2 linked regions of the Arabidopsis thaliana genome follow. The protein of the gene in region 1 interacts with the protein of each later gene in a pairwise test. Each region holds a gene or a part of one and is shown on either strand. Other genes may lie near its edges.

Region 1 (6,071 bases):
TATGTATATATGTGTGTGTTTGTATGCGTCGACAAAGAAGGTTTTGTTTGGTTATAGCTGCAATGAATCAATGATGAGAATCCAACAAAACCTAGAGAAGCCCCTATGAGATGGTCTTATATCTATAAATGAGTAGTGTACTTAATGTCAGATAAATCAAAACCCCATGAAAGGCTTAGTACCTAGATGTTTTTAACTAGAGAGAGAGAGAGAGAGAGAGAGAGAGAGAGAGAGAGAGAGAGAGAGAGAGAGAGAATCTACTAGAAGATATTATGCAATAAATTTCCTCAAATGTTGCTACCTAACTCCCTCACCCCACAATCCCAAGAGTATTAAGTTCAATTGTCTGCAAGTTTGTATAGATGTCAGGTCTTAAGATTGCACAAATCCTTTGTAGATCTAATGAGTTGATCCGGTTCAACCCGGTTTACGCAGAACCAATCTTGCTTGAAATGAAACCGAATAGAGGTGAAGAGCGACGATTTTCTATCTGCTTTTGTTGTTGGAAGTAGAACTGAACGGTTCAGGGACACATGAGTCAAATGTCAAGCACTTGAGATTTGGATTTCACTGATTCAATCTGTTGTTTTAGTTTGGTCTTGCTTAACCAAGTTTGGATTCACAAAAAAAAAAGTTGAAAATACAAGCAAGTTAGGTGCCTAGGATTAACCTGAAGAAACAGGATCAAGTACCATACAAGATTCCGGAAGTCCTAAATCTACCAATATGTTGAATTACTGGCCTACATAAACCAAGTAATATTCCGCAAAAATAACACCTAAATCGCATAAGTAAACTGATTTTCCTCGCAAAAACTGACACTAAACCCCAGCAACTTACTAATACTAATAGACATGATGGGATTGCTTCCTCAAGACTTGGAGGTACATGTGAAAACATGTGACTTGAATTTCTCTAGCTCTGTCAGGACTTCATCTTCCGGTCTGTAAATCAAGTCACTCATCCGCCATATCTGCATTAATTTACAAATCAAAAGTTTTCATTTTTACCGAGAAAGTTAATCATAGGTAGGTTCCAGAGTAAATGTAGCAAGACATTTAAAAGTACCTGCAATGTACCACCTCCACCGATACTCTCACAATTATCAGAAACACTGACAATAGTCCAAGGGTTCAATAGGCTCCAGTGGAAGTCGACCACTTTGTCCCTAAGAAGATATACACGAGGAAATTATAGATTCCACTGAAGAGAGTAAAAGGGAAAGGCAAGCAAGTGAATTAGAATTAAGTCTTGAGAACCTGTGACCAGCATGCTGGAAGAAAAGCCCATCAGGAGTTTTGGTTGCACGCTCAGACTTCTTGCCAACCTGGTGCACACATATATGTTAATATGGTGAGCTTGAAAGTAAGAGAATAGTTTTAAATGTGAATGTGAGAAATTGTACTAACCCTATCACAATCCCATATGTTCAAGAGACCATCTTCTGCAGAACTCCCAAAAACAGATGATTTATCAGGAGACCACTGAATTGATAACGAAGCAATGTCATTGGGGATAGGTTTACAGGACAAATAATATGAAAAGAAAAAAACAAAAAAAAAAAACAGAGGTGGTGGCATGTTGTTGAAACCTGAACACAAAGAACAGCAGCTCTGTGGCCTTCAAATTTGTAAACAGGTGAACCAACTCCATTTGAGGTAAGGTTTCGGCGGTCAAACACACGGACAGTGTTATCTGCTGACCTGGAAAAGTGATGTAGAAGCGTAGAGTGAGAGGACGAGTAGCATCTCTGTACTTTTGGACAAGTATTTAAGTTTGTGAAATCAGTACCCAGTCAGGATCAGATTATTGTCATGAGGATTCCAATCGACACAGTGAAGATCAGCATCATGTGCCTTCTCAACCTGCCAGCGCACAAGAAGAAACAGACGGAATCTGAAACAAGACCAAAAAGTTAAACCTCAAATGTCGATCTGGCTAAAAAAAAGAGGTACCTTCATGGCAGGACTAGTGCCAGTTCTTGCGTCCCATAGCATAAGGCAAGAATCGTCACCAACACTGCAGAATTCTTGTGCACTGTAGGACAAAACAAAAAATTACCAATTTTTTTATACCAAAAGCATCAGAAAATTCTGAGTAGGTCTGCATTTGGGTGTAAACTTAAGAGCTTATTAAAAAAGGAGACTGTCCCAAGAAGTTACCTAGATGGACAGAATGCCACGTCTTCAACAGTATCTTTGTGGCCATTATATATGCCTCGAGGGCCAACAGAAGGACCACCAGTTTTATCACTACCTTCACCAGTCTGCTTGAAGCTGGATCCAGGGGATTTGGAATCCGAACCAGCCATTGTGATATGGTCTTGGATATTCCACAAAATAACGGACTTGTCCTTGCCTGCACGGAAGAATCTTTGATGAGAAACTTGCAAACCACAAGATATGACACAAAAATAGAACTGATACAAACCTCCAGAGAGAACAAAAGGTTCGGTTGGGCACATTGCAAGAGCAAATTCAGCATCATCCTGGTGCCCAATTAGTAACTGAAAATAAAAGTTGTTCAAATGATGCAAAAAGAGTAGCTCTTTCGATTGTTAATATGATGCACAAGCAGGTTGTTTAACTCAGTGAGACAACATAACGAAAATTCTCACAAGAGCATACCAAATCTGGACGAGAATCTGGAGCTCCAAGCACAGCATACCGGTCTGGTTGAGTCTCAGTGTTCCAAATGAGAATCTGAAAACCAATATATCATACTTGCATGACTGAAACTGGAACTATTCAAAAACAAGGATACTGAATAACGAAAGCCTTTTTTTTGTCACGCTGATGACCCGAGAAAGCAGAACTTACATCAGGACTGTCGGTGTGAGTAGCTACAATCTTGCTATTTTGAGGGAGTTCCCTAATTCTGTTGACCTGCGATGAATGAAGGGTACACAAAACAAAATCTTTTTCAGCACTCAAGTCCTAAACGAAATGCAGATTCAGTAAATCCATCTAAGAAAAAACAATGAGAATACAGGAATATCACACCTCTCCAGGGTGGATGATGGTCTTGTACTTCTTCACAAATGGAGAGTGTGCCTTTTCATTAAGCTGAAAGCATATAAAGAAACGGTATTTCAATAATTTCATCTCAGCAGAGAGTAACACAAGGACAAAAGCACAAGCTTTGGTAGAGAAAAACTAATTACCTGCCTATTAACAGTTTCGCAATTGGCTATGACCAAAGTATTAGGCACACTGCCATTCGTCTAATGACAGAACCAAGAAAAAACGGTAAACATAAGGAGCAGTAAACAAACTTTGGATATTTTTCATCAAGAAAAAATGTACAAACCACAAGAACAAGAGCAAACTCACTTGTTCCGAGAGATAGAGACGTTGAGTCTTAGAACCTGCTTGCTCAAGCTGTGGCCCCCATCTGCTCAAATCAAACAACAGGATTACAACGAAATCGTACCTCTTTACACAAAAGCTAAACACTTCACTAAATCGTAGCACAGCTAAACATCTGAAACCAAAAAGTAACAAAACAGAACACCTAAACCGAGTTGGTCAAGTGTTATCAACGACATCATTTTCCTACCAAAACAAGTTCCAGAGGTTCAAAAATGGAAACATCAGATAGCTAATGAGCTAAAAGCCTAAAAGAGAAAGAAACACAGAAAAGCATGGAGACTGAGCTAAATTAAAAACCCGAACTAGAACATGTCCTAATCTCACAAATTCCAGAAACCAGCTAAGAAAAACTCTCAATCTATGAGTATTTCACTAGCTGAAACGGAAATGTAACTCAATCGCCTGACCAAAAGCACAAAGCTAGAATTTTTATTTCCCAAAAAAGAACCAACTTTCTCCAAAACCAAAGATCGAAAACCCTAGAAACAGAAAACCTATAAAAAAAAACACAGACCTGCAAGAGAGAGAGGGCCAGACGAGGGTATGATTAACAAACGAATCATAGAGAATGGGAAGAAGAGTCTTCCACTGAGAGTAAGTGTCGTCAACGGTGGCCTTTTGACTCTGCTGTAGCAAAAATGGTAACTGAGACTCGTTGTTGCTCTTAGGTTTCCGTCTTCTCTTATCCGTCAAAATGGCTGTCACCGGAGTCCTAGGTGCTCTTCTCGGCCTGGTGGCTTGAACAGTCGCTGCTGCTTCGCTTTCCATTTCCTTCTTTTCTCTCGTTTTCTCTCTACTCTCCTTTGTTTTTTTTATAATATTATTATTTATGCCACGTGGAGTAAACTTCGTCCCGGCAAATACCCAATAGGCAAATACTTAAATTAGCGAATTAAAATGATTTCTTCACACTAAAGAGTATAATCAGTATCTTCCCATTACAAAATTTGAGTAAAGCTTTCTTCTAAATCTTGGTAGAAAGTTACTAACTGATCAACTTAACAACGCAAACGCTGTTCTAAAGGCGGTGAAAATTGAAACCAAAACTCGGTTTAGCGTTCAAAAGAAGAAGATAATTTAATTGTAACTTGGTGTTTAAAGGCTACTTCTCAAGTCTTAACATTCATAACTCTGATTTTACTTGAACAAAGATAAATCTGTTTTTTTTGTCTTTGAACTAGTTGGGAATAGTATTGAGGAAGAAGGATCAGACATAAACACCACTAGCAAGTAGCAAAAACAACGATCCAAAACCCTGCAAATAACACAGAAACAGATTTTAACCAAACATTAGATTTAAAGAAAACTCTTAAACTTAAGTCAAGAGGGTGAAGAAGAAAATCCATACCAAGAAGACAGATGCAACTGCTGAAGTAGCGAGCTCCTTTCCGACGCTTCGGTTTTTCCTGGATGATGTAGCTTCATAGCTGCAACACAAATGTTATGACAGGGTAAGTTTTGATCACTCCTTGTTGGGCTGAATGAATCTAAACCAGCACAATGAATACCAAAAGAGTCCAATATGACCTTATTACAAAGAAGCTAAAATGAATGGTTCAAGTCTATCTTAAAGTTTTGACTCGAGGCTAACCCACATGCTCTCGTAGCCCAGACGCACATTACTTTAACAAACCGAATCATATCTCCTAAAACTTGCCACCCTTTGAAAGGTAAATGCTCCACGCTTAAATGAAAATCATACAAATCTAACTTTCTTGTATCTTAACTAAATCGATAATCAGTCATTTTGTCATATTCAGTGAAACTATTAGAGTACTGATTCCATTTCCATAGACTATCACCTTATCATTGATAAATTTTGAGTCTTTATATCATGATAGTATATAGAGCTCACACATTTCCAAAAGGTTACTAGATGAGTCCCATGACTTTCTTACTTTTTACCCAGAAACTTTAGTAATAAGAAAGGCACATATTTCAACAGATTAATCTAGCAAAGAGATCATGAAAGTGATGAACATGTAGCTTCAGGAGCTTTAGAAGACCTATCTCTAGAGAATAGCAATTGAGAAAGCATTGTGACCAAACCATATATATAAGCAGTAACAATGTTGGTCAAGCTTCATACACAGTGAACAAACAAGAGGAGAGCCTCACACGATTCATAGTTCAGAACCTAGTCATGACTATCACACACTAATCAAGCTTTATGAAAATCAAGATAAATCATAGGTAGATCGAATCTATCAGGAACTGTTTCACTAATCTGACATCAAGTAATATAAATTGAGAACAAGAAGGGGCAATTTCGAAGATCTAGAGATCAGATCAATTATTAGCTTACATGAAGAAGATAGCGGTAATGACGAGACCAATCGCAAGAGTGAACACCGATAAAGTCGGATACAGCGCCACCGGAATCGGACTCGCAATCGGTTTCGCCGCCTTCTCACCGGGAACGAGCACAAACACACCAAACAAAATCAGAAATCGTAAAAGCAACAAATAGAGAGATCAAATTAGCTGTGACTGAAAGCACTTGGACGGATCTAGATTTACCATTGTTGCTAAGCTCTTCTTCTTCTTCTTCGATCTGAGGAACAATGAAAAAGCTATTTGACTGATCTCGCTCGCTTGATCGCTTCACTAAACAAACACGAGTCGCTTCCGGTTTGTACTTAACCGGCTTGTTATAACACAACCACGGTTATTTTATGGGCCAGTTTTTCTGTTTAAAGG
Region 2 (3,588 bases), on another chromosome or scaffold:
TTCGTCTTCACTGGCTAGATATAAGTACATAACGATTAGCTTCAGCATCACCAAACATGTTATTCTACCCACAGAAGTACTGATTTTAATTCAAGGTAGTTAGATAATGAAATAGGGATTTAGGGAAATAGGCTATGATGTTTAAGGTGATAGACGTACTAATGTTTTTGGCATTGCTCATGAAAGTACCCAATCATAAACATGAGAAACCGCGTTTATTTCCTTAATCCCCAGATATCTGAAACGTCAAGAGTTTGTATCTTGTTAGTGAAACCCTCAAAAATCCTCTAGAGATTTACAGATTATATAACATGTTGAAACTGGGATGAGAGTGGAGTAAAATCAGAAGTTGGTTGCTAGCTCAGTTTCCTAAATAATTGCTGGAACGGTGCAACTGCAATTGGTATCACACAGGTAAAGAGAAATCACCAGTTTGTATGATTCTTCACATGTTCTGCTATTAATGGCCAACATTCACTTTGGATCAAGGATAAAAATATTGTAATATTTTCGTATTAAATTAGAGGATTGTGCTTAAAATTCATAATCATTTACTTTTGCTTTTTTCAGTTTTTTCTTTTTACTGTTGCAGGTACAAACTACAAAGGGAGATAAGCTTCAGTTTCTTAACCAGACTTACGGTTCTCTCTCAACCTACAGACACATTTATCTTTGATTCCAAGGTAAATGAGATAATAAGATTAAGGCATTTGATATGATGAAACGTGGAGATTAGAGCAGTAGTATTAAGGTTTCGACATGACACGCTGCGCAGGCCCCCAAGAGTAGATATCAGAAGCCGAGTTTCCATTAGTGAGCAGATTTTGAGGCAGTCCATGAATGTCATCTAAAGGACGGGATCTTCCATTCTGGTAGTACTGCTGGTTCTGCATAGAGGCAGCTTCATCATCATCCATAGGAAGACGATCAAAAACAGCATTCATGAAAGATGCAGCCATGAGAACAACAGGACCAGATGCGATTAGCCCACCAACCACTCCTCCACCAACAACCTGTCCTTGAGGTCCGGCTAAGTAAATGGTCAGACCAGTTATTCCAAGTGGTGCTGGTGGAGGCAAGATTGATCCAAGCAATGAGAGGATCTCGTAACGTCCGTGTAATGTGACAATTGCTCCTGATGAAGCTGGTTGCCTTAATGTCACATTGGTGACACAACCATTGGCACTGAGAATGCAGAGACCTCTCTGTTTCCTTCTTGCAAAATCCGATAAAGTCTCACAGATGTCACAACCTGAGCTGATCTCAACGGCGTTAGCTCTGAGGGAATTTGGACTGTCGTGAGTCACAATGATTGGTGGTTTGGGTTTGTTCTTGGAGCCAGCGGGTCTGCCACGTGGCCTCTTAGCCATCTCTCCTTCGATTGATGAAACCGGTTGGACGGCTTTGGGTAATGCTCTCAGGTTGTTGTTGGTGTTGCCTCTCTCTGTTGCTTCATGGTTCCTCATTGGAACAGACTTGGATCCTACAGAGGTTGGAGTTAGAGCTGTACCTCCAGCCATTGTTATGAATGTTGTTATATGTTCAACTGAAAGATTCAGAAAATTTGTGAGGAGTTTGTGAGTTTAAGTAAGGAGATTTTGGTGAATTATTAAATGGTAGAGACACCAAAAGAATGATTGTGAGGAGTAGGAGATGGTTAAGTTGTCACCAAAAATTGTGATTAATAGTTAACAAATTTATTTTGCAAAAAAAGAAAAAAAAGAAAAGTTTCTGGCAGCCTACTTCTCAACAGATGATTAAGTATTTGATTCATGACAATTGTCTTCTTTAACAGAGAGATTCATAATAATGCTTAAACATCTTGTAGCTATTTACAACCAAATTTATACCCTTTTTGGGACCAAAACTAAAATCAAATACTGATCGAGAGTTGAGAAACAACAAAAAATGAGAGTCGTCCACTGCTCTGTATTTTATCGCCTTCCATACTCGACTCTTATTGGGCTTTTAAATTGGTCCTACAGAGAAGGTCCAATAAGGCCCAAAATATGTAAATGTACACGTGTGGTTGGTTCTTAGCCTTGACTTGTCGTCCTCGACCTGTGCCACATTCATCTCTCTCTCTCAGTCAAATTGTTGTTTTCTTTCTTCGAATCGGTGCAGAAAATTCAGGGAAGTTCTGGGGAAGGTTGTTGCGTTTGACTCCTTTGGCTTAGTTTTCTTTCGAATTCCGTGCTTCCTGATGATCTTACGTGAAATTGCAGCCTAAAATTTCGAGATTGTTTTTTTTACTCAGAAAACGAGATTTGACTGATATGAATCGAAAATCTGTGATTTAAAGTGAAGCATGAATGCGAATCACAAGAACGGGAATCCAGGTTACCATAATCTCTGGACCAATGGACTTATCTGTGCTTTCGAGTTTTGTCAAGGTCGTCGTAAGAATAACACAAGTGTCCATGGAGATTCGTCTCTCAGAATGTATGATGATTGTTACTAACTTGTTGATACATATTAGTGCTTAGTCTCTTTTTTTCTTTTTCTTGTAGAGTGTTTTTTTAAACAGTGTTGTTGTTGTTGTGATAGAAAGAAACAGGAATGTGAAACAGATCAATTTGGTACTGGTGAAGACGAAGAACATTCTAGGAGTTATTGGCGAGGAATTGGATGGGATAGGATCTCTGAGCTTGTTCAGACTGTTCAAGTTGATAATAATTGGGATTTGCGAAAGATTGACTTAGATGAGGATGAAGCCACTGTTGCTGAGCTTGCTGCTCCTTACTGGGAACGACCACTTGCTGGTCCAACTTGGTGGTGTCATCTTGATGCTACCCATCATGGTATTGCCTCGTGGTTACGTAATGCGCATTGGTTACATCCCGCGGTCAGTCTTGCTCTGCGGGACGAAAGCAAACTGATTAGTGAACGAATGAAACATATTTTCTATGAGGTAACAAAAATCTGAGTTATGTTGCTTCTTTGTAATGTGAGCTGTGCTATGATTCTATAGCTGAAATTTGTTAATATGTTGGTGGATAGGTGCCTGTCAGAGTTGCTGGTGGGTTGCTGTTTGAGCTGTTGGGACAATCAGCGGGTGATCCTTTCATCCAAGAAGATGACATACCTATTGTCTTAAGGTCTTGGCAAGCACAGAATTTTCTGGTGACTGCATTGCACGTTAAAGGCTTTGCCTTGAACATTAGTGTCTTAGGTATTACTGAAGTCCAGGTTTGTTCTTCTTATTTGAATCATTGTTTTCCTTTACTCGTTGATCAATTAGTCAAAACTGGTTTTCAGTCTTCTGGGGTTCCTTCTGTCTTACCAGGAAATGCTTATTGCTGGTGGAGCCTGCATTCCGAGAACCGTTCATGAACTAATAGCACATCTTGCATGCCGCCTTGCACGCTGGGATGATAGGTATTTCCCTTCCCTTGAATCTAGATTAAGTTGTGAAAAAAGTTGTATATATTGGGGAAGTTTAGTATTCATTATGAAAGTCTTTAGCAGTGGATACACATTTACATGGTCTATACGGTGTAGCCAATGAAATTGTTAAACCTTTGTATTGCTTTGATAGAACCTATTTGTCTTATCTTATTCTTAGAGTTTGAAAGATGGGAGTCAAAT

What was found.
Region 2: the proteins of NFC5 (region 1) and AT2G42940 interact in a two-hybrid assay, tested with the Arabidopsis thaliana proteins (one study listed by BioGRID).

What each region holds. Positions count from the first base shown.
Region 1 is NC_003075.7:14,558,384-14,564,454, forward strand, and holds NFC5 (nucleosome/chromatin assembly factor group C5), read right to left. Parts: upstream 4,219-6,071; 5' UTR 4,140-4,218; coding exon 3,886-4,139; intron 3,394-3,885; coding exon 3,333-3,393; intron 3,224-3,332; coding exon 3,164-3,223; intron 3,066-3,163; coding exon 3,003-3,065; intron 2,886-3,002; coding exon 2,820-2,885; intron 2,703-2,819; coding exon 2,628-2,702; intron 2,507-2,627; coding exon 2,431-2,506; intron 2,359-2,430; coding exon 2,163-2,358; intron 2,038-2,162; coding exon 1,956-2,037; intron 1,866-1,955; coding exon 1,792-1,865; intron 1,704-1,791; coding exon 1,592-1,703; intron 1,485-1,591; coding exon 1,410-1,484; intron 1,328-1,409; coding exon 1,260-1,327; coding exon of another isoform or gene 1,169-1,259; coding exon 1,069-1,168; intron 974-1,068; coding exon 872-973; 3' UTR 544-871; downstream 1-543. Other genes in the region: AT4G29735 (uncharacterized protein), read right to left, coding at 4,579-4,626, 4,720-4,798, 4,990-5,055, 5,677-5,777, 5,892-5,894. UniProt on the Arabidopsis thaliana protein: Core histone-binding subunit that may target chromatin assembly factors, chromatin remodeling factors and histone deacetylases to their histone substrates in a manner that is regulated by nucleosomal DNA.
Region 2 is NC_003071.7:17,861,751-17,865,338, forward strand, and holds AT2G42940 (Putative AT-hook DNA-binding family protein), read right to left. Parts: upstream 1,707-3,588; 5' UTR 1,521-1,706; coding exon 747-1,520; 3' UTR 504-746; downstream 1-503. Other genes in the region: AT2G42950 (Magnesium transporter CorA-like family protein), read left to right, coding at 2,309-2,442, 2,548-2,911, 3,001-3,189, 3,287-3,378. UniProt on the Arabidopsis thaliana protein: Transcription factor that specifically binds AT-rich DNA sequences related to the nuclear matrix attachment regions (MARs).